Linked DNA regions of Oreochromis niloticus. The protein of the gene in region 3 binds, or shares a complex with, the protein of the main gene of each other region. Links are inferred from orthologs where the notes say so. Each region holds a gene or a part of one and is shown on either strand. Other genes may lie near its edges. The genes, in order: eif3jb, eif3s6ip, eif3d and eif3i.

Evidence for each region.
Region 1: eif3d (region 3) and eif3jb share a complex: the UniProt entries of both Homo sapiens proteins name them as parts of the eukaryotic translation initiation factor 3 (eIF-3) complex. The link is inferred for Oreochromis niloticus from reciprocal best matches to the Homo sapiens genes EIF3D and EIF3J.
Region 2: eif3d (region 3) and eif3s6ip share a complex: the UniProt entries of both Homo sapiens proteins name them as parts of the eukaryotic translation initiation factor 3 (eIF-3) complex. The link is inferred for Oreochromis niloticus from reciprocal best matches to the Homo sapiens genes EIF3D and EIF3L.
Region 4: eif3d (region 3) and eif3i share a complex: the UniProt entries of both Homo sapiens proteins name them as parts of the eukaryotic translation initiation factor 3 (eIF-3) complex. The link is inferred for Oreochromis niloticus from reciprocal best matches to the Homo sapiens genes EIF3D and EIF3I.

The regions. Positions count from the first base shown.
Region 1 is NC_031965.2:18,810,045-18,817,359, reverse strand, and holds the start of eif3jb (eukaryotic translation initiation factor 3 subunit J-B), read left to right. Parts: upstream 1-4,300; 5' UTR 4,301-4,443; coding exon 4,444-4,456; intron 4,457-4,603; coding exon 4,604-4,692; intron 4,693-6,618; coding exon 6,619-6,676; intron 6,677-6,769; coding exon 6,770-6,867; intron 6,868-6,955; coding exon 6,956-7,052; intron 7,053-7,315. Other genes in the region: strc1 (stereocilin), read left to right, coding at 8-156, 357-454, 949-1,099, 2,338-2,432. UniProt on the Homo sapiens protein: Component of the eukaryotic translation initiation factor 3 (eIF-3) complex, which is required for several steps in the initiation of protein synthesis.
Region 2 is NC_031978.2:25,123,375-25,131,024, forward strand, and holds the start of eif3s6ip (eukaryotic translation initiation factor 3 subunit L), read right to left. Parts: upstream 3,007-7,650; 5' UTR 2,870-3,006; coding exon 2,846-2,869; intron 2,489-2,845; coding exon 2,446-2,488; intron 2,284-2,445; coding exon 2,073-2,283; intron 1,994-2,072; coding exon 1,914-1,993; intron 1,686-1,913; coding exon 1,624-1,685; intron 1,523-1,623; coding exon 1,453-1,522; intron 1,360-1,452; coding exon 1,286-1,359; intron 1,073-1,285; coding exon 901-1,072; intron 751-900; coding exon 596-750; intron 47-595; coding exon 1-46. Other genes in the region: smoc2 (SPARC-related modular calcium-binding protein 2), read left to right, coding at 4,672-4,746. UniProt on the Homo sapiens protein: Component of the eukaryotic translation initiation factor 3 (eIF-3) complex, which is required for several steps in the initiation of protein synthesis.
Region 3 is NC_031969.2:30,431,893-30,439,484, forward strand, and holds the start of eif3d (eukaryotic translation initiation factor 3 subunit D), read right to left. Parts: upstream 3,015-7,592; 5' UTR 2,861-3,014; intron 1,012-2,860; 5' UTR 1,009-1,011; coding exon 886-1,008; intron 86-885; coding exon 40-85; intron 1-39. UniProt on the Homo sapiens protein: mRNA cap-binding component of the eukaryotic translation initiation factor 3 (eIF-3) complex, a complex required for several steps in the initiation of protein synthesis of a specialized repertoire of mRNAs.
Region 4 is NC_031985.2:30,543,692-30,551,699, reverse strand, and holds the start of eif3i (eukaryotic translation initiation factor 3 subunit I), read left to right. Parts: upstream 1-4,989; 5' UTR 4,990-5,147; coding exon 5,148-5,150; intron 5,151-5,531; coding exon 5,532-5,624; intron 5,625-5,702; coding exon 5,703-5,790; intron 5,791-6,067; coding exon 6,068-6,133; intron 6,134-6,645; coding exon 6,646-6,795; intron 6,796-7,062; coding exon 7,063-7,190; intron 7,191-7,718; coding exon 7,719-7,829; intron 7,830-7,948; coding exon 7,949-8,008. Other genes in the region: txlna (alpha-taxilin), read left to right, coding at 335-670. UniProt on the Homo sapiens protein: Component of the eukaryotic translation initiation factor 3 (eIF-3) complex, which is required for several steps in the initiation of protein synthesis.

The DNA.
Region 1 (7,315 bases), on a different chromosome or scaffold from region 3:
GCTGCAGTAAGGCGGTTCTCAGGCTGGGTCGGCTCAGGCTGTCCTGCTCAGAGGAGCAGCTGCAAGCTCTTGTTGAACTGCTAACCCACAGCCTCGCTTTTGGACTCATGAGTTCCTGGGGCACCGATGTGTTCATTGAGATCGGAGTCCTGGCAGGTATTGTCTATTCATTGTCTTTGCCACATGAATTTTAGATGTACTATGCATAGTCCTACATCTGCCTTAATGTGTGGTCAGGTCAGAGATTTAAATCAAAGACATTTTGTTTTCCTCTATGCTTTGCTGTAAAAGCATTTGATTCATTGATTCTAGCACCCTTTGCTCTGTTTCACTGGAACATTTTGCTTGTTTTTCAGTGGGTATCCCAGACATGGCCATGTCAGCGCTGGTAAAAGAGCAAATTGAGGGAATTGCACCTTTGGCTATCTCAATGATGCCACAAGAAAAGTTTGCTGTGAGTCAAGATTTAATTAAACCAACCATATCATGGGTGTTAAACATAAGGCACGGGGGCCAGAAATGAACCAACAAAGACTCCAATCCGGCCAACTGGACGGCTTTAGAAAATGTGAAGGAGGAAATATTATTTTGGACTTTTAAATGTGTTGTAATAACTTTTACAGCATTTCCTGCTAATGACAAACTCTCCCACAGCAATCCATACTACACCACAGTATATTATGTCAGAGATTAAACTGGTAGTAAACCTTCTTGTCACTGACAGAAAGATTAGTTTCACTGGTCAGGGCCCATTATTGTAATACCAAGGTGAGCTAAACTACACTTAGATATGTGTAAAAAGTACATAATTTTTAGTAACATTTGTTTCTTACAATAAAAAAAATGTATTCCTGTTTTTGCGTCCATCTTGACAAATCTTTATCATGTCTTTAATTTATCTCTCTAAATAAATCCCACCCGCCGTGTTTTTTTTGTTGTTTTCAAAAGGTGGTATTCTCCCAGGAAAAGATTGCCATGTTCTCCTACGAGCAGGCTGTTGCAGTAACTGATAACCAGCGCTCTGTTCTGTCAGACCTCCAGAAAACAGCTCTAGCTATGGTGCTGACACCCTGGGACGATAAGCCTGTAGACTTCAGAGGTAAAACCTGAATCAGTGCTGTCCACTGATGACCATTAAACTTGATTTGTCTTCTTTATGCATTAATCGCTTTATCTGATGAAAATATAATCGCCCTTATCAAAACTCTAACCAAAGTTTTATGCTAGTTTAGGTACATCTTGCTAGTATCAGGTTGGATCCACTTTTGCCTTCAGAACTGCCTTATTTCTTAATTCCTCTGAGATTTTGCTCCATATTGACATGATAGCATCATACAGCTGCTCCAGATCTGCAGACTGCACAATCTCCTGTTCCACCACATCCCAAAGGTGCTTCATTGGATTGAGATCTGGTGTCTGTGGAGGGTGTCTTAGTGCAGTGAGCTCATTGTCATGCTCAAGAAACCAGTTTGAGATGATTTCAGCTTTGTGACATGGTGCATTACCCCGCTGGAACCAGCCATCGGAAGATGGATACACTGTGGTCATAATGGGGTGAACATGACACATCAACAACAATACTCAGGTAGGTGTGCTTAGCTGGTACTAACCTGCCCAAAGTGTGCTACGGAAATATATCTATCACACCATTGGATGACCCCGTGTGAATTTTAGCCTCAGTTTTCTGCTCCTGTTGCCCATTTTTCCACACACTTTGAGCCGCTTAGTACCATGTGAGGATCATTTAAACACCACAGTCTGACTGAGTATTGTTGCTCATTACATCCATCCCATTATGACCACAGTGTACAATCTTCTGATGGCAGCTTCCAGCAGGAGGAGGTCACCAGCTCTCAATCCAGTAGAACACCACTGAGATGTGGTAAAGCTGGAGAGTCGCGTTATGGATGTGCAGCTAACAAATCTGCAGCAACTGTGTGATGCTATCATGTCAGTATAGACCAAAATCTGTGAGGAATTAAGAATTAAGGCAGTTCTGAAGGCAAAAGGGGACCAAACCAGTACTAGCAAGCTACACCTAATAAAGTGACCCGTGAGTGTATAAATTATTACTGTAATTTGACTCCCAAAATCAAGGCTGACGATAGCTGCTGTTGTTTCCTTGCTGGTTTCAGCACTTTATTCTCATTGTACTTGTAGATGTTTCCAGTGTGCTTTCTTTTCTAACATTATCTAACATATGAACATTATGCCTTGCTAGATATGCTATGCATGGATACTCTAGGTGTGGAGAGAGTGCCTACCGTGATATGAATCTGCCTGAACTATATTTTTGCATAGCTCTACATTTGTAATGCTTTTGCTGAATTCCTGCAGGGAGGTCACTGGGGTTGGCGTTGAGCCACAGCCCCCTGTGTCTCTTATCGGGACTGCTGATGCTGCTGACCGTCCTGCTCTGCCCTGACACATGACCTCGTTCACCCCAGCCGAATCAGGAGACCCCCTCTTCTACATGATGATTGTCTGTCTGCACAATGCTGTATTTCTTTGAAATAAACAGCATTTAAAGCTTTCCATACTCTTTTTAGCAACACTGTAATTGATCTTGTATAACTATTACTTTAGCATCAACATTTAGCAGTGAAAGAACAAAGTTTGAGAGAGTAAGAGCTGTTTGTTTTAATCAGCAAATCTATCTAATACCCACAGATCCTAGACTATTTATTTATTTTTGTACAAACCTATCTAAACACTTTACTTTCCCATATATATCCTTCTCAGGGATGCCATACCTAGAAATAATACTTAAAAATGATAAAGGTTAAAATATAATTGTTGTGCAGTTATTACGAAAGAAATCTGTTGCAAATGTACAAAGTTATTTATTTTTGGGGAACTATAGATTTATGTGAGTAATAGTGATAACACTTTCTATATATCTGTCTATTTTGAGTTATCTTGATTACAAAACAATACCTAGTAGGGCCTGATTGTACTAGTATTGATCAACTTTGGTCTGTTGTTGCTGTGAGTTTTGTACTGTTGTGCACACTTTGTGGTGTGATTAAAATGACTCTAAATGATCAATAAACTGAACCAATCTACCTCTGATTGGCTCTTTTTATTGCTTGTTATTGTTGTAGTTTTACCCACAGCTCTGTTCACCATTCAAAAAGCATTTGACACTACAGATGACAGATTACTAAAGATAAAGCTGGAGATAACGGTATCAAAGGGGTGGCACATTCCTGGTTAAATAGTTACCACACTGATAGATACCACTGTGTGCAAATAAATAATAACTCTGGTTTCATTGTGAGGTTTTTTTTCTGTTTATACCGTAGGAAAAAAAGGTTTGGAATAGCTTCTGAATGTAGTTGAAATTATCAATAAATCACAGCTATCATATTCAGTAACAGGCAAATAAGGAATGAAGTCAAAATTATGATCACTGATGATGAAACAGAAAGAGTGTATGAAACTAGATTTTTTGCAATGGGTAACTGGATACTAATCACATTTGCAAGGGTCGTATAAAGAATTCCTTTTCTTCTTTCGGTTGCCTCGTTTAGGGGTCGTACATCACTCTTATTTTTAAAAATGGGTGCTAGTACACTTCTTCTCCATCCCCCAGGGATCCTCTCACTCTCTAATCTGGTCCACTGCCCCCTCTCCCGGATGTCTCCTCCACAGTTATGTCATCTGGACCAACTGCCTTTTCACTCTTCATCCTATTTATAGTTTTCCTTGCTTCCTCATTCACTGCCCTCCATCCATCCTCAACTTTCTTTCATTTTCGTCATTCATGAGCTCCTCAAAGTAGCCTTTCCACTCTCTCAGTAAACTTTATTCATTACTACATTTCCATCTCTATCCTCAGTCACCCTAACCCGCTGCACATCCTTTCCAGCTCGACCTTGATCCTTCAAAAATATTATTTATTTTAATATATCACTGAGGAATTATTGATCACCATTTCCATTTCAATTCCCATTAATATCATACATCTGAGGTACTGCACTTTCTCGACAAGAATGATTAAAAAACAATTTTTAATGTATATACTTTATTATACTCCCTTATGAGATTCAGTTAAATTAAGGCTATTAATTAATTATTTTTTCTTCGGTTAAAATAATATGTAGTGTATCCAAATGTATCCAAAAGAGATTAAGAATAGGTTTTGACTCTTTATGTAAGAATGATGTAAAATGTACTTTTAACACATTTATTTTACAATGCTCGACTTAAAAATGCGTGGAACTTGGCTTCAGCTTGCTTGTAGCGTCTCATGTTTACAATTGAAATAAATAAAGGCGTGATGAGATTAGTTGTATCGGGGTCGTTGTGCTGAAAGTGCTCCGTGGACGTTAGATAAGGCCGGAGTGCCGCCCAGAAGGTGGGAGCTGTTTCTGAACGTGGCCAACGGGCTGCAGCACTGACTGTACAGCGAGCCTGTCAAACACAAGCAACACAGCCAACATGGCGGACTGGGGTGAGAAACTAAGTTGGGAAGGATGGCTATCTGTACAACATTTACTTGTCGCACTCGCTGTTTTAAGGGCCTAATACACCTCTCATTGTTAACTCCAGGTGTCAGATGTGGACTGACCTAACGACTCTCATGTTGTTGTTTTTACAGACGCTGACAACTTCGAGCCGGAGGAACCGATTAAAAAGGCGGCAGCGCTGGACAAATGGGAAGGCGAGGACGAAGATGAAGATGTTAAGGTAAAATATCGTGACGAACACTCGGTATAGTCTGAGCCGCTTTTTAAAATCTGCCACCGGTTGTTTGCGAGCTGTTAGCTGACCGAGCAAGCGACAGGATGTAATGCCACGCTTCGTCGTGGTTTCTCGCCGCCTGTCAGTCCGAACCTCCGAACCCCTGTTAGCTTATGCTAACTCATGTGGCTCCAACAAGCAGCCTCTGGAAACTCTAGCTCAGCTAACAGTATGCTGGTATTCGAGTTTCAGTCATTCAAACGTACTGTTAACAAACTGAATAACGGCGTGCCAGTTCATACTTATAGGTTTAATCAAATTTTTGGACGCTAGTAGTGTTTTCTACTTCTCTTGGCGTCATGAATTTTGATAGCGGTGCTTGAAGCTAATCTCTCACCGGACGGGCCACTTGAGCTAGCTAGTCTGCTAGCTCTCGTGTATTGTTGCGTCTGTAAATAGGCTTTAATGTTGGGTGACCTCAGTATTGAGTGATTTGTTCATGTGTTGCTAATATACAGGTCCATCCCATTATTGCACAGATTTAGTTGCATTAAACGATTATTGGAGATTAGCATAATTATGTCTACTCTGGCAAACCCACAGCTTGAGTCACGTTGAGTATGAGGCGGCGTTAGCGTGCTAACCAACTTTAGCCCCATTCAGATGAAATCATCCACTGGGTTGATGACTCAACTCAGCCAAGAACTAGGCCTGGAACTTTCCGACTTTACAGCAGGCAGTAGGAAGCCGCTGTTCAGCTGATACCGTAATACAGGTAGCTGCTACGTGAAAACTGGCACGGTCTCTGTCCAGAAGCCTCAGATAATTGATCCTGTGGAAAGTGCTGGCAGAGGCCTCTTCAGTTCTCCCGTTTTCTGTCGCATATGGCGTCCAGACTGAAGAGCCTGATGGTTTTATGTCCTCTGTAGTACAAAATGGTCATTGTTTAGGAAGAAGGGTTAAGATTTTTGTGGAAATCAGACAATAGCACAAAGTTAATTTTTACTCAAGATAATTAAATTTATTTCCAGAGCTGCTGTTGTTGTTGTTCATAACCTGCTGGAAATGCAACAGGCCGGTTGTCAAATGTTTATTGTGTAGTAATTCACAGTTTAAAGTCTTGGATATTTCAGTTAGAAATTAGTATCTTCTTGGATTGGATTACATTTATTTGTAGTGACACTTAAGGTGGATCTTAATATAAGACAGCAATCTACAGGATCACAACCCCAGTGATGTCTGAAGAGTCATCACCTATAAATTAATAAATTAACACTGATGTCATAACTCGTAACTCATTGTCATGAATTACAGAATCTTAAACTTTAATGTTGTTATATTTTTTGATTCTTAATCACTGTTTAATATATACAAGTTCTGCATTATTACACAGTATTAAGCACTCACTGTGTGCATGTGGTACTTTCAGTTTTTTAATGTAGACTGTACTATTTTTATTCTTTATCCTGGTACCGTAACACAGTAATTACCCTTGTTGGATCAGTAACGTTGATCGATCCAGCTTATATACATCTACGCCAGTGTAATCAGGACTAGAATAATTTGAACTAGAGGTAGAACAAAAGTTATTCATCTTCAGAAAATGAAGTGGCAGCTGTTGCATATCGATAAGTGATAATTTTATGTTTTAAAAAGTTTGGATTTTTTGTTATTTTAAAATAAACATTCTGACTGATTGCAGCCTTTGACTTACATTTTTAAAGTTGTCTAGTTCTGTAGGTGTTAAGATGTTGCTCAGAAAAAAAAGAAGACTTTTCAAGGCTTTAGCATGGCTCTGGGAAGCCATATTAATGTGTGTCGTTTGTTTGTTTTTGGTTACATTATACATCTATGTCTATATATTTACATCTTCTAGCTTACATATTAATAAAAAGGCAACAGTTACACACATTATGTTCTGTGTGTTCACAGGACAACTGGGACGATGATGAAGAAGATGAAGAGAAAAAAACAGATGTGAAGAAACCAGGTTTGTATCCCAGTACCGCTTGCCTTTCACTAATGGAGTATACTTGATTACTGAATGATTTTAATTTTCTTATGTCATTATTTTAATTTGCAGAGCCAAAGGTTTCTGAAAAGAAAAAACTTAGTGAAAAGATAAAAGAGAAAGAAAACCGGATGAAGAAGAAACAACAGGAGGCAATGGAACAGCAAGAAGTAAGTCCCACTTTCTCATCTGTAAACCTTTTGACTCTATGCTCGTTTATCTCTAATAATATCTTAACTCTTACATTTTTATTTACAGGAAGAACAGCTCACTCCTGAAGAACAGCTGGCAGAAAAATTAAGAGTGAAGAAATTACAGGAAGACGCAGACTTGGAGCTAGCAAAAGATGCTTTTGGTAAGACCGGATCAGGTGTAGAAACTTTTTATCAAGAACATGAGGTCTTCCACAAAATCAAGTTGTGTAACTGATGCAATACATTTAGTTTGCAATACATTAGTCGCTGTTGCTTGTAGTTAACATTTAACTAAGACTTAAAAGGCTTAAATACTCCTTTGGCTTTTACGTTTTACACAGATGTCCCAGTAATTCAGCTGTAGATGCCACATACTATACCTCACCTCCAAAGGAACAATGCACCATTCTATTATCTGTAAAAT
Region 2 (7,650 bases), on a different chromosome or scaffold from region 3:
AGTAATATGTGGTGATTTGGCACTCTGGAACACGCGAGTACATACTCTGAAAGACAGGCAAAAGAAAATATGCAGAAATATGAATTACAGAGCAAACGAGCAGTTTCTTTTTTTAATGTTTAATTTCAACAGATCAACCAAACTTTTTTATTTGTGGCTACAAAGGTTGATTTAACAAAAACTTTGAGATGAAATGAACTATTTGACTCTGTGCTACTGAAGAACTGAGAACTTTGAATTATGTATTTACTTTACAATGTTAGTATCATAATTGTTATTCATTGTTAATGTGTCAGGTAAATTAATGAGTTCCTTCTTTTTTACTGCAACTTCACTTTGCCCACATTAAATTTCATGAGCATAAAGACTGATAAAGCAGAAACTGTGCTGAGTCAAATTATCAAAAGAATCCTCGGAGAATATCGTTTGTTTGATTTAAATTAAAAACATCAGTATCTGTCAGCATTGTATCAAACCTTCTAGGACAAGAGGAAACAACAACATATTTCCATATAGACACCCAATCCTAGCGCTCATCATCACCATTGGAGCAGACCAGACCTCTCTATACATGAGGTCTTAAATAAGGTCGTACCTTCTTATTGAGCTCAATGTTCTCCAGGACTTTGATGGCCTGGTAATAGTCACCAAGCAGAGAGTGAAGCCTCAAAAGCCCGACCAAGCTGAAGTAACCCAACATCTTGTACAGGGAGTGACGTCCATATTCTCCAGCCACGCTTTCTGGGTCTCCTGCATTACAAGAACACATAACATGTTCACGACCTATACAATCCTGGATTTTAAAGCCTTAAATTGACATAATTCAAGATTTTAAAGTAATTAGGTTTCTAGAAACACTCCATCTTTTCTATAAATATCATAAAAAACACTGTTCTTTACCTCCACTCGTGTAGACCTCAAGCTGACGGTTGATGTTGCTCTTGTCCACCAGGGAGTGGAGAACATTGAGGACACTGTGGACGTTCCAGATCTTCGGATTGCTCCTCAGGAATTCAATTTCCTCTTCAGACTTTTTGGCTGTCTTACAGCGGTACTGACTGAATGACTGAAACTGAAGGTGGAAGAGATGTCTGTTAGTGGATTTTAAATATGCTTTCTAGCCACGTGGACTAGTGATCATTAAAGACCACGAATATCTTCATTAATATGTCACCTATCTGGTGCTTAAAGCAATGATAACATTAACAACAACAGCTATCAGCCCTTTTCTTTATTTTGATCTTATTGATTGTTGAGCATGCACTCTAAAAACACTGTAATGTACCTGGTAGATAAACTCATCAATGATGTCCCAGAGCCACTGGTTTGGCAGCTCCAAGGGGGCCGGCCCATCAGCATCTGTTTAGAGTCAACAATGATCTCATTAAGCTGCTGTTCTTGCACTAACAACAACGGGTAAGAGAAAATGTATGGACAATTTGTGCTACTTACTGAGAATGTAGTTGAAGAGGTTGCAGTAATTGTAGTAGGACTCAAATCTCTGGTCCAAAGTTGGTCCACCCTGATTATACAGAAAATACTTTTTTCAACCAAATTCTAGAAAGTTTTTTGGACACTGATAAAAAAGACCCAGACAACTGTTCATATTTAGCAGCTACTCACGCTGACTTTAGCGTAGATGTGTCTGTAATAGAGTTCCTTGTAGAGAATGAGAAACACGGCATCTGCAAAACACAAGAGACAAAAACAACATGAAACATCTCCACTGAACCACACAAAGGAGGCCTAAAACTTTTATAAAATCTTAAATATACAAAATAAATAATAATAATAATCTTAAGCGGTGCAAGTTTATCTTTTTTTTTTTTAAATCACACTCAAACAATAAAGAATAAAAATGATACTATCCATACAAAATCAAAAGTAGAACAAGTAATGGATAACGCTCTCACCATTGCCAACAAGTGATGCAATGGCCTCAGCCTCTGGCCAGGGAGAGGTCTTGAAGAAACGGTCAGTCAACTTGTTCCAGCTGAATGGGCAAGAGCATGAAAAGGTCAGCATATTAATCTCACACGGTGTGAGAGTTATGTGCACAGAGTTAACTTTACCTGTTTTCATAGACGTCCTGGATCTCGTAGATCTTCTGCTCAATGCTCTCACTAGACACCCGGTTGGACTGCAGCTCATAAACCTTCTGGTCAATCAAGTCAGAGATGGTTTTGTGGAAATACTGCAGAAAGTTCTTGATCACCTCTGGGATGACATGGTAGGTCTGCTGCTCATACTGCCTCTCGTAGGCAAGGTCTGCTTTAGGGTCACCTGCAAGGAAAATTAAAAGAATATCCTTTACTCTCCTCTAAAAGTTACTTATGTTGTGTATGTTTGTGTCTGTGTGTTATACACTGACTGACTAAACAAGAGGATTGTATCTGTAAATATTGATAGTATGAGTATAAAAGGGATGGTTATTTGTATACTTACCAGTGTGCAGATCGTAGTCGTTTGTGTAGGAGTAAGGATCGTACTGTAAGGAAACAAAGCAATCGGGCATTTGTTACTGATACAGCATCTGATATTGATACATCTGCCCAGCGAGAAGCGACCAACTGATCGATTATATAGCGATATTTTATAATAATAAAAATGCACTAAAAAGAGTTACAGACAATTAGCTAGTTGTCCAGGTTGCATTTTCTTAAAGCAGGGGTTAAGAGTAAATTTATATCACACTAACTCATTGAAGCCACTGTTATACTATGCCGGTGGAGTCGAGCTAGCTACACAGCTACCTAGCTAACAGTGTGTGTTACCTAGCTAACAGTGTGCCATTGTTATTGTAGTCAAAACGTTAAAATGTCTGAAGGAGTAAATGTGTACTTACATCCTCTTCGTCGTGGTATGACATTGTATTAGCTATTAGTTCAAGCTAGTTTAGATGCTGGAGTGAAAAAGGAGAATGTATGCTCAATTAGCTACCGCCGCTAAACCACGCAGCTGGCGGTGGAGAGACGAGAAGAAGCGGAAGGAAGTAGCTGTGACGTAGGAGTGACACGCATTGTTATTGGAGCACTGTGGGAAATTGAGTTTGTTGTTCACCAAGAGAAACACTCGATTCTCAAACTTTCGCATGTCTCCTCTAAAAGCCATTTCAAACAAAAAAAGATGTAGAGGGTGGTGAATTTAAAAACGAATAGCCATTTCTTTCCACGTTTTTTCTTCTTAAGTTTCTCGTAGGGAATGATACCTATGTAACTGAGAACAAGAGCAAGCTAGGGCTCTGATTAGGGTTTCATAAATGTATTTTATGAACCTCATTGTTTTGCTAGTGTCTGTTCGTGACACGGCATCTGTGTATTTGTTTACAGCTGTGCTTTTTACTCACCATAATGTATTGTAAAGATGTCTAATGATACTAATTAGGCTACACCAGTTTTGACCAAACATATATTCGGGAAACAAACGGACTCTTGGCGAGAAATACCTTTCTACTGAAGGGGTTCTTGTGCAGGTACTGAAAAACAAACAACCAAGAGGAACAGATATAATTTGATATAGGCCCTATGTTCTTATTTGTCAAGTTTCTTTGATTCCTGCACAAAAAAATGTATGTTGAAAACTCAGCCTAATTTTTCTCGTGGAGAATAAAATAAACTTGTGGAGAATACGTTACGCAGAGTTCTGGCAAACGCAAAAGTCCGAACTGATGTGTAGAATTTCGAAATCCCCGACAGCTATTTGACCATATGGAGTGTATTGAGCAGACTGTGAAGACTATCATCTACCATTAGGTGGCGTTATAGTCGTAGTGGGACGCTCTGAAACGTTGCACTAGTGGCCGTGGACTCGGCGAATGGAGAGTTATTGGGAAGAAATTGCAAACTGGTTCGTGCTCATACAGCATATAGTTACAAAGCTGAGAAAGGTTTAATACAATATGGCCAATAAATATGCTATTTTGTCTTATATGTGTGATCAAAGGGACATATTGTTAGATTATTTTACTTTTGCCAAAATATTTGTTATTCTAGGCGCCGCTTGTTTTTTTAATCTGTATTGTGTGAAACTCAGGGGCTTGTCTAACTTTGTTTTGAGAATTGTATATAGCCGTATAATCAAAACTTTAAATGTGATTGTGTATGCGTCCATCAGAACGAAAATTTATTTGCTGATCCACCTAGCAGACACTTTCTGACCCCTTCCTGCGTTTTCTCTTCACTGGGGTTGAGCATCCTCACACCACTTTCTTACGTAAAGAAAAGAATACCTGACGTGTTTGACTCAACTACCAGCAGCTGACGGCGTAAGCTTACGCCTACCTGACTGACTACCGGCTGGGGAACCGCCTGCATCCGATAAGGGATCTAGTCCACAGAATCAAGTGTAGCAGAAAGGGGGTGTGGAGAAACGAAGTTGAGTTAAAGAGAGGGAGAAAGAGACACCGAGGGAGGGGAAAAGGTCAGGGACACGGGGGGGTTTATCGGACTGCCAGAAATAAGGAGCGTGTCTACACAAACGGGCTGGCAGACGAAACCAAGGAAACGACGTGAAATACACCACCGACCCCCAGTGACTTCTTCGAAAGGACTGGTGCGGATTTTAAACTATTTTTGACTTTTCCCATAGACAGTTTTGCGCCTAGGTGAACTCCTACCAACACGATTTTGGACCGCGCGTAATTTGGAGAGTATATTACCACGCTGCGTCAGGATGCGCATCTGTCCACTGCTGGTCTTCCTCTGTCTACAGTGCGCTGGAGGCGTTCAGAAGTTCTCCGCTCTCAGGGTATGAGGAGGCACTTAACTCCCGGAATGAATGTCATTCAATTTCATGAGTAAAAGATGTTTTAAATGGAAAGGATGTGCATGTGCTTTCTATGAATAAAATTCCAAAATTCACAATCTGGAAAATATTTTTAATATAAAAGAAATAGTTCCTACGCACCCTTTTCTTAAAAGTCAAGCTTCTTGTGATCTATTTAGTCTAAGAATCTGAAATAATAAAATATTCAATACCGATAATGACGCATTTGAAGTCAATTACTACTACACTCTGCCACATTCTTACACTGAAGTCTGAGTCTGAGGTTATCTCACTCTAAAAGAAGTGGGCTGTATTAGTTGAATGTTTTATATGTGGCAGAAATCCATTTTAGAGCTCAAGAGAGCATCAAGTAGAGCTGTGCACGGAGAAAATGGCTCTGTGTTTTTTGTCAGTCATGTAAACTGAGCGCCACAGCTTTTCAGAGTGTTGGCACAGCAAAGGCTATAGGTTTGTAAGCAGTTGGCTGGTGTGCAGCAGATCCTTTGCAGGTTTGGTTTTGCTGCTGTAACCTGCCTGCCAGCTTCTCGGCTCTGCTGCCTTTCTGTCTGGTTTGCTCCTGTTGTTCTAGTTGCTCTTCAGAGGCTGAGCTGCCGGGATCTTCTGCATTAAAGCACATGGCATTGTTTACAGCAGCATCCTCTCCATCTTACATTAAACTCTGACAGAAAGTGCATCTTCTGGGGAATTTCATGGCCATGATCAAGTGCAGGTACAGTGGTAAAGGACACTTAATAGAGAGTGGAATGTGCATTGTCAGAGGCTCCCCCTTTTGATTTAGAGGCTGATGTGACAGCCACCTCTCCCAGCACCAGTATTTATGGTTCTGGAGAAGATGCCTCGGTATCCAATTGGAAACAAATGGCCATGAGTTGTTAACCTTCAGGTGAAGGGTCGGAGATCCTTTCTCCCTGACGGCACTACAGAGTTGTGGAATGTGGGAGGAAGCGTTGTACTGGGCAGATGCTTCACTGAGTTGATACACACAAACACACACACAGACCAAGGCTACAGATAATTAGTGTGAGGAGTATTTCTCTATATGTGACATGGTTGATACCATTTACCTGTCATTTAATAGAAAGGTTACACGGGTGTAGCTGTGTTTGTGGTTGTTTGGATATGACACATTATCTGCTGTGCTCTGGAGACGAGTGTAAGAACGAGAAACTTCTCTACTTTGTTGCGTGCCTCAGTTTAATTTTGTTTCATATTGTGTGCCATACCTCCCAACACGGGCTAATCAGACTGTCTTTAGTAGTATAACTTTCTTTTACAAAGAAGGTTGCAAGTGATTAATGGCTTATTGTTTAACATATACAGGAGAGACCATTACTGGTTAAAAGAAAATGTCTTCATGTTATATTTTGTGCATATTTGAGGTCAGACAGGCAGTTAAATATATGAGATATTTGCCCAGGGTTATTCATGAGACCGATTTTTTCCATTGTTTATGGAAATATGAAATAGTGTGTGAGAAGATGAGGGCACACAGAATAGTGGCTGCCTCATTTTCAAATCTTTATGTAGAATTTTTGATCTAACACGGGCCCTGCTGCCCCCCAAGTGCTTTCCTAAAATTTTCCACCTGCTCAAAGAGGCGGGTTTCTTTATCACATGACTACCACTAGCCTTTTGCAACACCTCCTTTTCTTTTTAACATCTCTCAAAGCAATTAAATCCCTTTTTCCTTTGATTGAGTTAGTAGGCTGGTTAAAGGCTGACACTTTCTTCCCTTTCCACCATGCTGGAAACTAATGATCCCCTTTGCATCCTAGCATCCACGCAGGAAACTCCCGGCAAGGGCATTTAACACGTTTGCCACAGCTCTCAGCTGGGGCCCCCATTGACCCTGTGGGGCTGTGGTGTGAGGGGCCTCTCAAGGCGCTGGAAGCAGGGGCCTCCCAGCCCAGAAGGCTCTTATCAGCCTACAATGCGCTCTCTGCTGGAGGTTCGCCTCCTCCATACCCCATTCAATCCCACAATGCCGTCGAGCCAGGGGGAGGTAATAGGATTTGATTTGTATGCTGGTTGATCTTAGAAAAAAAATTTCCCTTACACTCCACCCGCCTCGCCCTCTCTTGCCTGTCTCTTGTTCTTTTGCCAACCTTCTGTATTATTAGAGCAGATGCAAAAAGCATCTTCCAAGAGAGATCCCACAAAGAACAAAAGAAAAAAAAAATCACGAGAGGCCAAATAAAGAGAAAGGCAAACAGAGAAAGTGAGCGCCAGATGTCTGCAAGTAGACGGGAGTGGGATTTGAGCAATAAATTGATTTGAGTCAAAATGCGTGTTCAGACTTGCACGAGTCTCCTTTTATGATAATTCAGGGTGGAAGTCTGTGCCGCATGTAGCTGAGGCAGAGGCCATCCATCACTCTCCACCATATTCCTGTGCAGGATGATGGTGTCGACTCGGAGAGGCTGGAATGAGACATCAGGGGAGTGTCGGGGCTCTGCCTCAGCCTCACCCATCCATCACCACAGGCAAAAAACACACAGAGATCTGTAGCAGAGAGCTAACTACAATTAGGTGTACACAGGAGGAAGAAGCCCTCAAAGCACCATTAGTCTCTGAAGTTTCTTCCTCTCCCTCACTTTCACATCTTATTTGTTTGCACTTCCTTCAGTGTGGCCAACTTTGAAACGGCTTAGAAATAAATATTCGGATGTCTGAAACTGAGTCTGGGTGGTTGATTTCATGGGTGGCTGATTTCATGATTTCAACTGTGTTTTTCCATGCTGCGTTCTTGGAGCTTCACTGTAAACTTGCTGGAGCTTGGCACTATGCTGTGTGTGCTGGAGAGCAGACTTCTAGCAGGATGCTGGGCCGCTGAATGACTCTGTTTGCGATGTCAGTCTGCTGGCT
Region 3 (7,592 bases):
AATGTAAAATGAAGCAGATTTTGTACAGCTGTGACTTACTTGTGTATCTCTTGTCTTGGTAAGTAGCTCCAGTCCAGTCTGCAACCTGTCAGACCCAAAACACACAAAGTAAGTAAAAAACAAACTCAGGTAGAGCTGTTTGATGTAACGATAGATATCAGATGACGATATAAAAACGTCTATCGTTTCATTTTATGCTATCATTTGTTTCGTGGTGTCGCAAAATAAACTATTTACGGCAATATTGTTTCATCGTTTTGATGGTCACTGTAGTGGCTATATTAATTTCTTAAAGTTCTCTCTTTCTTTTATATTTAATATAACCACACTACGGACGGACAAGCGCCTGTTTTTATGCGTAGTCGTTAGCAACAACGATGGTAAAACCATTGCGTGTCCGCTTGTTTATTTCCACATAAACCTTTCACAATAAAGCTCAAGATCCTGTTGAGACTTTTCAAAATAAACTGAATCACATGAAAGGGTATGCAGAGAGTTTACGGATGAGAAGCAAAAAGAGCCGTCAGGTGCTAAAAAATAAACCTTAGACTCAAACGTTAGAACAGACTTTTCCCCGCAGCACGCCGTGTAATAAATACTCACAAAGAAAACGGCGGCTGTTACAACTTATGTCTAAAAATGTATCGTTTCATGCATCGGTTAAAACACTCGACTCCAGGTACACAACGCCCAGCTGGAAACACTTCACACAAGTCGAGCTGCCCGAGATTCACAGAATTTACAGGAAATGTTGCATTTTTGTGATTTTTATCGTTATCAGGACGATAGAATTCTTATATCAGGATATGAGATTTTGGTCATATTGCACAGCACTAAACTCAGGAAAACTTTTTTCCCTTTTTCCGAGCAGAACTGAACACAAACCTTTCCCAGACGATCTCCTTTGCTGAACGGCTGGTAGGGCATGTCTTTGAATTTCTCTGGGACCGCACAAGGACCCCAGCCGGACGGGTTGTCCTGGATCACAGGGGCGTGGAACTTCGCCATGGCCTAAAGACAGAGGGAAAAGGGAAAAAGACATCAGACCTGAGACCAAACATTAAAAACCCTCTGGGTCTAGCTGACTGATATTACACATACAGGGTCTCAGGCAATGAGCAGCACTGATTTCTTCAGCAATGCACTAAAAGAAACAGGCATTGATCAGCTTGCGCAGTGGGCTAGTCATCACTGACCCCTGAAAGTCAACTCTATGATTTATGGCTGTAATACAACATATTTAAACAGTGACGGGATTCTTCAGTTAAACAAATTTTAGTTTTAGTTACAATCTTGGCTTCCACTGATTGTTAAAATGGAATAATTGCAATAAGTATTTTCTTTACAACAATTACCCTGTTCGCTTTATTATTTCATTTATTTCCTGCATAATTAGCTAATATAAGGAAGTCTTTGGGATAGTTTCTTCCCACATTTCTCTTTTCTTTAGGTGGTGGATCTAACTGATGGTTAGTTGTGGTTTCAGTGCTTTTAATGTGTCACCCTGTAATATTTCCTACCATCTATCAACAAAGAGATTTTGGATCCCTTTGACAAAAACAGAAAGAGAATACGGTACATGAGTGCCTAAAAAGTACTGACATAGCTCGTGAATCAGTCATTGCAGCTGTATGATTAACATAGGATCCTGCGGTACACCACTTGGGATCCTATGGTCTAAGCTGTTGCCTAAGCATGTAACCAACACCTTTGTCAGCTATTAACGTGGGTGGAGGGTGTCTGTGTTACTCTATAATTAAATCAGCAGGGGGGCGTGGGCTTTCTATACTGCGGTGCCGGATTTGTGATTACAATAAAACAAAATCGAAACAGAAGGGCTTTTAACCAAAGATGAATGCGTGTGGATGCACCCCAAATTATTTTAGTGCAGGTCAGGTTGACCTGTAGAAATCTGGTCTACTTTTGACACTCAAGGCTTAGTTACAACACAGCAAATGCTGCATACCCCCAGACATGAACCACAGGCCACAAAGCCAGTATTTTACTGGTTTAAATGATGAGTGACCCACATGTGGGACATCTGGGCCATTTTAGATGGATCTGAGGTTGCATTCATGTAAACATACTTATCTAGGGTCAAGCCTAAATGTGGGCCACAACTGGGTCAAATATTACTTTGTAAGGTTTAAGTGGTACAGTTCAAAAACCAGAGTAAAGGAACCGGTTCTATGTTGAGGGAACGCCCTTCACGATAACATCTGGCATGCTCCCACCAACAAAGAACCGCTCTGTGGATAAAATAAAACATCCCCTACTAACTCGGTGTCTTTTAAGACCGACGAACAAAGACCAATCAAGACAATCTCCAAAGCAGATTGAGTGCGCAGTAGGCCTGACGTGGATCATTTCATCATCCAGTGATGCTGCATTAAAGTTTGCAACATAAAGTAATGATCGGTCCTCACTGCTGGTACATTTACGATTCTAAGATTTCAACCATTAGGACGTCCAAGAACATTATCTATCGTTTGATTTGATCTTTTAGATTTGTGATAATAAAAACGAATAAATGGGTTCTTTACGGGCTTTTTGCAGCCAATTGGTAACAATCGCTGATTAAAAACTAGATATACTGAGACTAAACATACAGTTGCTAACTTGAGATCAGCCAGTGTAATTATTTAAAAGAAATAGAGCAGCACTGAAACGCTTTTTCTGCACCGTTAGCTCATCGTGGCTAATGCTAACACTAGGCACCGCCAGGTGGTCATGCTAGCAATGCTAAGCTAACCGGGTGGAGGGCGTCACGCGCGTAAACACAAATCTCTGATATTTGACTGAAAACGTTGCTAAAAACAGGCGCTTTTCACACGTCTGTGCGTGCTTTCTCTGCTCTTACCGTTAATTCTGTGTCAGTATATGGAGTCTTTTAATCCAGTCGTTGCTCTGACGCTGCTCTGCCCCAACACAGCGCCGGTATGAAAGGAAGTGCGAAGTGCCGTAAAGCGCAGTGTTTCCTGCTGTGTTACAGCAGCAGCCGGCGTAGTACGTCAGTTTTTACCGTCGTCTGAAATGAGCGTTCCATAAAAAAATAAAATCACTGCTATTTTCAGATTACATGAAAAAGATTAAAAAAATATACAAGTTAATGTGTGTAATTTTAATAATTAAAAATATTAAAAATTAGGCCAAAGAGCAAATGAAAGGCTGAATGGTCTTTTGAAATGCTATTTTCAAATTCTACCCTATTAAGTTTATTTTGCTATATTGTTACAGAGAAATGCAACAATCAGTCATACAGATATACTGTAGATCTTTGTATGTTGTATAATTTTGCATATCACTATATTTTTTTTAGCCTATTTTTAGCCAGATTTTTTTTAAATCCCTTTGCGCTAGTTACATGTCTTTTTGTTTTGAAAGAACGCATCGGATGTGAGGCTATTTTATCACTTCTAACTTGGCAGCTGTTATGTGGTGCAGTTCGGCGGTGTCACCGCTAGAGGGTAGCAACTTCAAGCGATGGGACATGTGTTCCTGTTAACGGTCAACGACACAATCAAAACATGTTTCCAAAAAAGACTTAAATACTGCGGTTTGTCAACAGTGGCCGTGTTTTTCAATAATCACAACAACAATCACTCAGAAATTTTGATTTTAACAACTAGTTAACAACTTTTCTTGTCAAAACCGTGCTGCAATTCCACACTTTGACAACAGGAGGGCACTTTACATTGTGATCGCCCATGGTCTCCACAAACGTCCAAAATATATTTACAGCTCCGGGCACATTTTTCAAAATAAAACATTTAAACAGCCGTGAAAATATCAAAAAACAAACAACCAAACAAACTAAATGAGGTGAATATTATGTTTTCTTAAGTCGATGTGTAGAAATACGTTTGAAACTACAAATTACATCCAATATTCACAACCTAAAACACCTATACTTTCTAAAAAGCATAGAATGAGTATTAAATTATTAATTATGTTAAGCCGTTTAAACAGGAAAGTGGTCATTTTTATCTGATAATTTTTTTGTATGTTAATTTTTGTTCAGTCAGTGGCAGAATCCTGGTAAACCCATCTATTCATCCATCCATCCATCCATCCTGAGGGTGTCATAGGGTTTGGTTACTGGGACAACAAACTCGGTTTTGAGGTTCTTTTATTTGCATTTTATGCCAGTTTATACATCACTGCATGCACATTTACTGCACTGCACTTATCTGATAGCTTGCAGATTAAATTACATTTTTTGACGTGATTTAAATAAACTCCTGTGTTTGAATATAAATTGAGCCTTTGAAAGCAGCCATGAGCAATGGTGTTTCTCAGCCTTTTTGTCGAAGTTCTTTGTGCAACTGAACCAGCGACGACTAAAAATGAGCACAACTGGAGCTGATTAACGTCAGCCAACAGTTACTACTACTGAAATTCCTGAAAGTCACAAAGGAGATAGATGCCCGTCAGAGCTTTGCAGAAAAGAACAGCAGACAGCCACCTTAGAAAAATCATTCAGAGGATTCAAAATCGTTCTGCAGATCAATATGTCATGTTTACAGATTACTCCGGAGCAGTATGCATCACCACACTGTGCAGTCACATTTGTTGGGAGCTGCACGTGAACCTGCAGCAAAAACAACACTGTTTGCCACCTGAGAACTACAGGTGTGTGCGTGTTGTGTGTTGCAGGCTGGACTGGAGGATTTGTTAATCTGCATGAGTAACACCTGGACACATTATTGGGTTTCCCCATTCTGCAGAAAGTGTCCCTCATCCAAGCTCTTGCTGTTGCTTTCCATATAAAGTGCTGGTTACTGAACCTTGCCATGTGTAAGTGGTTGTTTTCTTTCCTTTTTGTGTGTTGTCTCCTCTTCTTTTTGCCATTTCTGAGATGGCCTGTGAGGGTGTAGCTCACCGTGTTGGACTATATGGACTCAACTGTAGTAACTGGAGCAAAGTTCACCTTAGAGGAAAACAGGTTTGCTTTCTGAGCATGTTTCTTTTTCTTTTGTCTCTCCTTGTTTTCTCAGCAGATACAAGATTCATACAGGCTCCATTTATTGTCAGTCCACCGTGTTTCATTTTGTCTTTTTAATGCTGCTTTATGCAAGTAATTAGAGCTTAATCTCATACACGTTCTGTCAAAAGTGCTTTGGAAATGTAAATCAGACGCACATCACCTCAGAGGCCTCGAGAGGGGCTTCTAAACGAATCCCCGATCCAATTAAGATGTTACTCATGCAGCGCAAAGGTCAGGAAATCTGATTAAAACACAAAAAGGAGTCTGTGTGCGCGACTGTTGTCAATTTGGCAGAGAGAAAATGAATTCTCCTGCAGCAGCGTCAGCCCTTCCTGCTGCTCAGGGATCAGTTGGGTGATGAATAATGCTGCCATCTTTGCATATCTGCAAGTCTTTCTCCACATCTGCATTCTCGTCCCTGTCGTTTAGTCGAGCTCGAACAAAACCACAGATTCTCACTGTGTAGACAACAGACACAGCACCACAGTGAACTCTGCCATTTTCCTTGTTTTGTGTGTTGATTATCTCCCAGCAGCTGGGCGGTGAGTCATATCAAACATGCCCACAGTCGTCCTTCCGGGATTTCTGGAGCGGCGCTGACAACAGATGGTCAGCACAGTGTGTACTAAGTGATTTTATTATGTATCTTGATGGATGTATGAATTATTTCTGTAAACCAAAAAGAATATCTTTTACACTCTCACGCAGAGGGTGTTTTGCTAGCAGGTGGAAAGGAACAACACGGCCGCCGTCTGACGCAGAGGTGTATTTTTGTCAGACTTGATGTTTCTTTGCAATTCTACAGTAGCAGCAACATCTGTCACACCACTTTGTTCTAAACCCATGGTGTCAGACTCAGTTTTACCAAGGGCCACCGCAGGAAAATCAAGTGCCAGGCATATACAGTTTACTGGCAACTTCAGTTTAATGAAAAATGCTTGTTTCTCAGTTTTTTCAAGTAGAATTTAAACATGTAAAGCAGCTGGACCGCTCCCCCAGATCAGGGAAAAGTTGCACCAAGGAAGAGAGTTTAAAACTCTTCGGATTTTGTTCACAAAAGAATGGGAAACTGGAGTGTGAGGAAGGCAAAGCTTTCAATTTTAGATCTATGTTCCAACCCTCACCTATGCTCCCGAGCTTTGGGTAGTGACTGAAAGCGCAAGGTCACGGTGAGAAGGTCAAACATCTGGAGGGAGCTCAGAGAAGAGTTGCTGGTCCTTCCCGTCAAAGGGAGCGTGCTGCAATGGCTCAGGCGTTTGATTAGGATGTTTCCAGGATGCTTCCCTCTGGAGGTTTTCCAGCCATGACCAACTGGAAGGAGAACCCAGGAGAAATGATATGTGTTGAATGGCCTGTGGAAGGCCTCAGGATCCTTCAAGGGGAACTGGAAAGCGTTGCTGAGAAGAAGGATATCTGGGAAACCTTGTTAAGCCTGCTGCCATCATGACCCGAAGATGATGATTGATGGATGGATAGAAAAGAACGTATTCCAGTTTCTCAAGAAAGCTGCCATACAGCTGTTACAAGTTAGCAAGTTTAAGACATTTATTGGTAAAAAATGAATAGTGAAAAAAACTAGCAGGCTGGAGGTGTCAACGTTGTGCAACATAAGTGTCAAAACACAGGAGGTCTGCCCGAGTGAGACAGGGAGCTAACGGAACTGCAGATGAGGAATATTGTTTGTAGAGCTGAGTTTGATAAACTGTGTCAGTCTTATTTGTGTTGTTGGAGAATGGAGTCGTGGAGGGGGGTCTGTGGGTGGCTGGAGGCAAATCAGAAGTTAGTAAGGAGAACAGGCAGAGCGTGGGTAGGCTGGGGAGCAGGTGATTCCTTTCTTTGACAGGTTACAGAGAACAAGTGATGAAGTGGGCAAGTTTGCTCCACAGGCAGCAGCCGAGTGTGTTTCCGAAGGAGGGCAGTTTCCAAGACAGCTGGGAGCAGGAAACCGGGAGAGGCGAGGAGAGACGGGATTATTACAGGCAGATGATTGCAAACAACAGGTAACAGCACAATGTTCATCACAATAGTAATGACGATCTGCTGCAACCTCCAGCACTTGATTAATAAATCAAGCTGGACCCAGTGAGAGGAGCCAGCGCAGCAACTCCACCTGATACTGACATCCACCTCACACCACGCTGCTTCACAGCTGCAGAAGGTATGAGACAATTATAAAACTAAACATCCTGAAAATTTAAAAGCGAAAAAGTAAATCTTTAACTTTCTTTCTTGAAAATATCTACAAGTCTTGCTGAGCCCGTTTTACAGGTTTGGACCAAGCAACTGGAAAACAGAGTACAAAAACATCTTCTAATGTCCTCCCTTAGACATCATATCATCCCACAGATAATGTAATAACTGAAATAACATGAATAAAAATGAATAAATAAAAGAAAGAAACACCCGAACAAGCAGATTTTATATAGCTGTTCTTAGGAAAGCAAAATGTGTTTGGCACCACCGTGCACTCAGATCACAAATCTGATTGCAAAAGCTGTCAGACAGGACAGAATTTAAAACAAATGCCAAACTTTACAGAATTAAAAGGCATCTTTATACCATATTTATGGTTTTGACCTCTTCATAAATCCTGATTCTTTATAAC
Region 4 (8,008 bases), on a different chromosome or scaffold from region 3:
TTGGTGACTTTGCACATGAACCGTAGAATAACCTGCAAATCTTGTTTTGCAGCAAAGTTACGACATCACAGCTTCATAAGTGGCTCAGTCCAGAGTCCTAACGATGTCACCGCCTTTGGGTCTCTCTTAGGATGTTAAACAGATCCATGCTTACTTGTGTTATGGATACAATAAGCCAAAAATCTCACTAATGTGAATCTTTTCTGTGACAACACGACGATGTTTCAGCTTCCTTACAGCTGAAACTGGAATCTTCTGTTTTTCAATGCACAGATGGCTAAAAATCTGAGAGCACAGTTGCTGTAATTTTGTCCGGATGTGTGTTTGTTCACAGAAAGCTGTTCGGGATCGCGAGTTTGAGGCACTTCAGGGAAAAGTCCAGCGGCTGGAGAAGCTCCGGCGGGCGCTCAAAGTCGAACGGAATGAGCTGAACAAGAAGGTCCAGAGCCTCAGCGGCGGCACAGAGGGAGCCCCCACTTCCAACCCAGGGACTGACTCCCCCTCTCCACCACCTACAGACTCTCTGCTGGAGCCTGGCACCTGCCCTGCCCCTGACACCACCACCGCCTCCACCTCTTCTTGCTCCCACTCCTGCCACTGTGAGCCACAGCTGGACACAGACACCCTGCTGGAAGAGGCAAACACTCAGCCTGTCCAGGCACAGGAATGAAGCAGCACTGCTCACACGTTCTTCAAACCACCCACAGATAAGCCACCAGCCTGCAAGCCACTACTCCTCTGCTGGATGGAGCCCGTGTTAAACACTGGGACGGAAACAAACTGCAAAGTCACACCTTTATGTACGAGGCCAGAATACCAGATCAGCGTTTGACAGAAGGGTTTAGTTGTAATCTCCCAGAATCTTCTGCAAAAGTCTGCTGGTGTAATTACATGCACACTATCACACAGTTACTGTGAATGTATAATGCACTGTAATTTGGTTTTCATGGCTTTTATTAGCATCTATCCAGCGTGATCATCTACAGGAAGCGACTAATCAGCCACGCAAGTTAATATTATTACAATACTTTCAGAAATCACTATAGTCAAAGGATAGTGATCATATTTACAAGTTATTATCTACATATTAATGTCAACATGTGTAAAAATGATCAATGAACAGAAACCCAGGATGACATAAAGGACCACCATAACTACATAAAACCATGCCGTGTAGTCATATTAACACATCTAAATTTGTATATACAAATTATCAAAGCTTTTTTAGCAAATTAAAAGTATATATAAAGCTCGTATGAATAAATTTACATTAACTACATCACTTTGTTCATTCTATTTCCTAAGATCCAGAGCCAGTTTTTATCATTCTGACTCTTCATTTCTAACTCTCGAGTTTGTTCCCCTTATTTTGAAGTTTGCCATATTCTTCCTTTCTGTTTCTGAACTCACACATGTACTCCTGTACTCAGTACTCAGTAAGTTTATTTCCTGCTTTAAATCACACCATGAGAGTTCCAGAAACATCTCTATCCATATTTAACATATTGATTATAATAGCATCTTTGAAATAATCTTCAGAGCCTTAATATTGCCCTTAGACTGTATGTAAACAGTGGCCACCCTTTGGTTTCTAAGTCACATTTAAAAGCCTCAAATTTAGTGTTTTGGCCGTGACTGTGTTGGATTTTCAAAGTCAGAAGTGACCTTTCATCTTTGTACAAGAAGGTGGAAATATTAAATTAACAGCTAATATTAATTAGCTTGGTTAGCGAGATGCATTCATAAATTGTAGGGGTGCGAAGCAAAGGCACACATGCCTGCAACAGATTAAAATAGTAGAATTTCAAACTAGATTACAAACTAATTTCATTTAATAAAATCCTCCAGAAGGTCCCAGCAGCACAGACATGGTGGAGCTGTCCAGCTCAGTGACTTGAATTAGCTGACCTAGCAAACAGCGATTAACTACAGCTCCCTGTGTCGGTCAGAGCAGGCGTTGATTCACATGGATAACAGGTTGTCATGGTGGTGTTATGAAGGGATTTGTTGTCCCGGGCTGGAAACGTGTTTATTCAAGTTTAAGGAGGAATTGCAGTTTCTGGCACTTTGTGTGTTCACATTTTTCAGGCCCAGAGGTTTTTGTCGCATCATCTTCAGATCTCATCATGTTTTTTTGACAGTTAATAAATAGTATTTTATTAGCTGAAAACTCCAAAATATATGTCCGTATTAACCTCATTACTAGTGTGCATGTAATTCCACCGACCGCCTCTGTTTTGTGCTGTTTTGCTACACCTCCGGTCCAGTCGGCCCGGCAACAACAGCAACACTGCTGTGTGCGATGAAGCCAACCTGCTTTATGGTGTCAAGAGTCAGAGGCTGAATGGTGTGTGTCCAGTTAGTCTGCTTCAGTTTGCACGCTGATTGTCAGTGTTTATCCTAAAACCCACTTTATGTGTTTCTTTCAAGTGAAGTCTTAACAGCAGCATCAGGCACAATATTTTTAGCAGGTTCCAGTCATAAAAGAAGAAAATCAATCATTTTCTTGAATTTTTCGGTCCTGAAATTTGAGTCCCACTTATTAAAGCGTCATACTGATCTTTAAAATGGCAATTTTATGGCAGTTAAGCATGTTATCTTTGAAAATTAAGGCAGCACATCACTGATGTGACAGCAGATTAATATCAGCCACTGATCGACGAATCATTTTACTTGTCAATATTCCAATATCGTTGCATTCCTGAACTTTTGGTCCGTCTGCATTGTTGGAAGATGAATCTCTGTCATTGAAATGTGGAAATCTGGCAGAGCACGCTGTACTCGCCATTAGTTTAGAGCATTTCTAAAGAGTTTTAGTTTTATGTCTTCAGTTGCTTTTTGCTAATTTTGTTTGGGTTTGTCACTCTGCAGTAATGACCTCTTTAAACTCCATGGTTGTCTGGTGTGTGTATGGTGAGTGTGTGTGATAGAAGTACTTTGTAATCCAGTTTTTCCAGTTGAATGTTCAAAGACCTCTATGCAACGCTCGTGTCTTGGTTTTATTCTATGGCAGTCTGATCTGACAAGCACTCAGCTGAGAATGTATTTGCATTATATCCACTGTCCTGCATGGATGTGCTGTACCACACATGACATCTCACCGAGGAACACACACACACATATATATTTGTTTTTCCTTTTGGCCCACACTTGAGCTACACCGGATTGTTTCGACGTTGAGCGTAATGTTGTGAATCTCTTGAAAGATGCACCGACTGAGCCGATGTGAATACAGATGGAAAAGTTAGACCGCCTCTTAATGGACCATTGAACACGTGTCTTCTGACATTCTTGTGTACTACGTAATATGTAGCACTGGGAACAGAGTGACGACTCATTTTCATCTGATATCGCAATGACAAACCTAATCTCTTCCATTGTCCCGTAGGACAGATTCATTCCTGTCCCACAGTGGACTGGGAGGTTCATTAACCATGAGAAGGAACCAAAGATGTTTCTGTTTTTGTTGGGTTTTTTGGTCTTTTGCAGTACTTTTCTCTGGCTCTGTATATTTTGTTTCTTGTTAAATAAAAGAACTGACTTAGCTTTGACTTTCTAGACTCAAGCTTTTATCTGATGCTTCTATAAATATTTGGTCAGTGATGCTTGTGTTTTGAGCATGTGTGTAATTTTGCCTCAGTTACAGCACCACGGTGGATATTAAGTTGAGGTGGATTTCCAAAAATGCCGCATTAACTGTTCAGGAAATCCAGACATTTTTCGACACTGTGCCTCATTTTCAGAGTGTCAGAAGTCCGTGGACTTTCAGACCTTTAAGATCGGGGATGTCAAAGACGTTTTACATCATTGACCACATATGGCCCAATTTGAACTTTTAAGGGGCCGGCCCGGTGAAGCTCCCCATACTATAAGCGGGAAAAGAAGTTGAATTAAATGTTTAATCCCAGAGTGATCTAATTATAAGGAAATGATGTGCAATTTAAATAGTACCTCTCAGGTTTTCCTGCATGATAGAGAAATGTTACTGTAGTAAAGTAATCTGTCAACAAAACTCTTTGGGTCTAAACTGTAAGGAATGAATGCGCTGCAGAAAAAATGTTCTGTTAGCTCATTGCTGAGACTGACCTGTATTTATCAAACACGAGGTTTTTATATTATTTTCAGAAAATTGCTGAGTTTTTTGCTACAAAGTTAAAAAAAACCCATGAATTTCTATAGTAGATACTACAAAAAAAAAAAAGAACTTTTCTGTCATTTAATTGTTTACTGTTACTTTATTATGTTGGTGTAGTATGAACTGCAATAGGGGAGGCCTTTATCAACAGGAAAACCTGTAAAGTTTATTTTTTTTAAAAAGTACTTAAAAGTCCAAAATTTATGCTCTCCTTCGCATTTTGCAAAGATGTCCAGCCGTCCGAATTGAAGTCTTTGCTGGGCCGTTTCTGGCCCCCGGACTATTTTTGGCACATGTGTTATAGGCGCTGAGCTGACCAGTGAGTTTGTTTTCATTCAAATTGTTCATTTAACCACACTTACACTTTTTGCAAAGTCTCTGATAGGTTTATTTATTTATTTATTTATGTATTATTTTTAACCTAATGATCATTTCCCCCACCTTCATCTACAAGTTATTGGACCTGGTATTGAATTATTATATATATAAAACTGGTTTTATGTGTTTTTATGTTCAACATGGAAATGGATCAAAATGAAATGAAAATTGAGGAAAAGACAAAGGGAAAATTATACATGTGGAAAGAAGTTAAAATGATATACTGTTATAAATTACCGCTATCTGTAGCAATATATACACTGTTTATAGTATGGGTGAAAAAGAATTTAATCAGACTGGAGCCAAAATATCAATAACATTTTCAGAAAATAATCTCGAACACATATGGAGACAAATATGTTGGAATAATTGTGTTTAAAAAAGATAAACAAGAGGGGTTTTTTAAGGATTTCCTTTATAACTATTATTTTTAACTATTAAGCGTAACTCTACTCTCCAGAGCAGGAGGTGGCGGCAATGCGCTCGAATGCGATTTCCCCATCCGCCAAGAGAAGAAGAACATTTCCTCTTCCGCCGCGGCTCCGGCGCCTGAAACACGAGTGTTCATCATTTCTCTTTCCACGGGAGGAACGGCGACAATACTGGACTTGCTGCCGACACTTAGCTGACAAAAATGGTTAGTGTGCTTCTTGGTAAATGGTTCTTGATGCTAATCGTTTTCGAATGAAGCGGTTTGTTGATACCAGGATCGCCTCCAGCTTAGCTAGCGTAACTGCTGGTGCTACCGTTAGCTTAGCTCGAAAATTAGCCAGCTACAGCTTATATTTGAGCTAGTGTTAGCTGGGTGTAGCTAAAAGAGGTTGCGCCGGCCTGTGGTGGTTGCTACAAGTGAAAAGCTGTTTTCCCTTTTTCTTCTTTGCCATTTTCTGTCGTTCGCTGTTTTGTCAAACATTTTAACGTTAATAGTTGTTTCGTCATCGTAGAGTCCTCCGCATTGTTTCCCCTTTGAAAACAGGGCGACCTGCTGATTTAAAATCAATGCTGGTGTTGTTCACAGAAACCGATCCTGCTCCAGGGCCACGAGAGGTCCATCACTCAGATCAAGTACAACAGAGAAGGAGACTTGCTATTCTCTGTAGCTAAAGACACGGTGGGTTCATAACAGCCAAGTTCACTGATCCATTGTTTGTTTGCAGCTGGCTAACTCGTTGACCATCTCTCTCTACAGGTAACTAATGTATGGTACTCGGTCAATGGCGAGAGGCTTGGTACCTACAACGGACACACAGGAGCTGTGTGGTGTGTGGACTGTGACTGTATCCTTATTTTTCTGGAAAAAATGCTTGGAAATGTTGCTTTATAGCAAACGGATGTAGTTTAGGATTGTAATGTATTGATTGTGCATGCTCAATCATCCAGGTAAGGAAATCCAACTAAAGTAATTCTGTTCATCTTAAAAACATGAGCTGAGGTGGTCTTAGATATGTGACATCGAGATGAACAGAGCAAACTTTCTGGGATGAGTTTGTAATCCTGTGATAGTGTCTGTGCTGAGAATACGCATGTTTGGATCCTTAACTTGTCTTCTCTCAGGGGACACTAAAAATGTGCTAACAGGATCAGCAGATAACAGCTGTCGGTTGTGGGACTGCGAGACTGGTAGGTTGAAAACAAGTTAATCATTTTTCTTTCACTAGCTTTGCATGATTTCAAACTAATCCTCATGTGTGGTATACTGGGCTTTGCTCTGCCCCCTCAGTTGATCTTCTGTCTCAGACTGGCTGTTTTAGCTCCTTTCATTTTATGTGTAACTATATTCTTATTGGCTGCTTCTTGCAAACAAAAGATTTGAACAAGGGGTGGGTGGGGCTTCTGTGCTCACAGCCTGAGATGGCCATATTAAAAAAATCTGTTTTCAATGACATCATATAGAGCCAAGGGTAGAAAAAACTGAGGGTTTTGTGGGGATTATTTGTCATTTTAAATTTTGTCTGAGTTTAATAAAAGCATCGACCATTGTAACAGTGTATGTATAAGAGAATAAGGAAAAACAATGTATCCACTTTAATGCCATTTTTGCAGCATCGTCTGAACCACTCAGGTATGAGACATCTCTAACCGCAAGTAGTTTGTTCTACAGTGTCATAAAGCCCACTGTGTGTCGTCCACAGGTAAACAGCTGGCTCTGCTCAACACCAACTCTGCTGTCCGAACGTGCGGCTTCGACTTCAGCGGCAACATCATCATGTTCTCCACAGACAAGCAGATGGGTTACCAGTGTTTCCTGAACTTCTTTGACCTGCGGGATCCACAGCAGATAGGTGCATATACACAGTGTTAGCAGTCATGTTGATCTTTAAAGAAAAAGGGCTACGAGACTAAAGAGTCACACATCAGAAGAGGTGCTTTGAAGCCACCATTGGGCACATTTTCCTCCATAGACCAGTGTGAAGTAACTCATCTTTATCTCAGTTTTATATGTATTTAGAGAGAGTTTTACTGTATCAGTGGAATTATTGTCGTACATGCAGATTATGGCTCATGTCAGTGGTATAAAGTTGTAATTTTTTTCTCTCTTCTCTCTGCAGAGGACAACCAGCCCTACCTGACTGTACCTTGCAGTGACCACAAGATCACCAGTGCTGTGTGGGGACCACTGGGAGAATTTGTCATCGCCGGCCATGAGAACGGGGAGATCAACCAGTTTAGCGCCAAGGTTTGTGTCACACACTGGGAACATGTGGGAGTGTATTAAACAGGCAACATAGAAAGCCAAGTGCTAACTACACATAGCTCACAGTGCTACAAAAATGTGACCTCTTCACCTTTCCCTTGTTTTCTGTATATGCTGTTACCATGGTGATTGCTCATATTAAACATGACCAGAATTTCATATGACATTGGAGTATGTACAAGGAGTCATTATAAGCCAGACTGCTCCAAACAGTTTCACACCATCTTCTTTTCCTACCTTGGCCCTGTGTGATGTCAGAGAGGGCGTCCTTGTATGGTTATCTCACACATGCAAGAGGCAGCTTATCAGGTCAGAAATGGCTTAAAGGGAGCGGAGCCAAAACGGCTTGTTTCAGACAGGATGAACTGATGAGGTCCACTGTAACATAAAATGAACAAGGCTTACTTTGAATGGTTGAAGTGCACGAATAAAAATCCGGGGGTTGAAACAAGAAAAAAAAGAATCCCGCTTCAAAGCGTCACGTTGAAACGTGCTTCATGTTTTGGACAGTCCGGAGAGATCCTGAAGAAGGCCAAGGAGCACACCAAGCAGATCAACGACATCCAGACATCAGTGGATCTGACGATGTTCATCTCTGCCTCCAAGGACAACACTGCTAAGGTAAGCCTTTAAACACAACCTCCCTGATCAGGTCACTGTTGTACGTTTGCTTTAATGTCACATGCAGATGTCTGTGATGCTGTTACTGAGTGTTGGTCATCTTCCTCATGTTCTTGTAGTTGTTTGACTCGACTTCTCTGGATCACATCAAGACATTTAAGACAGAGAGACCTGTTAAC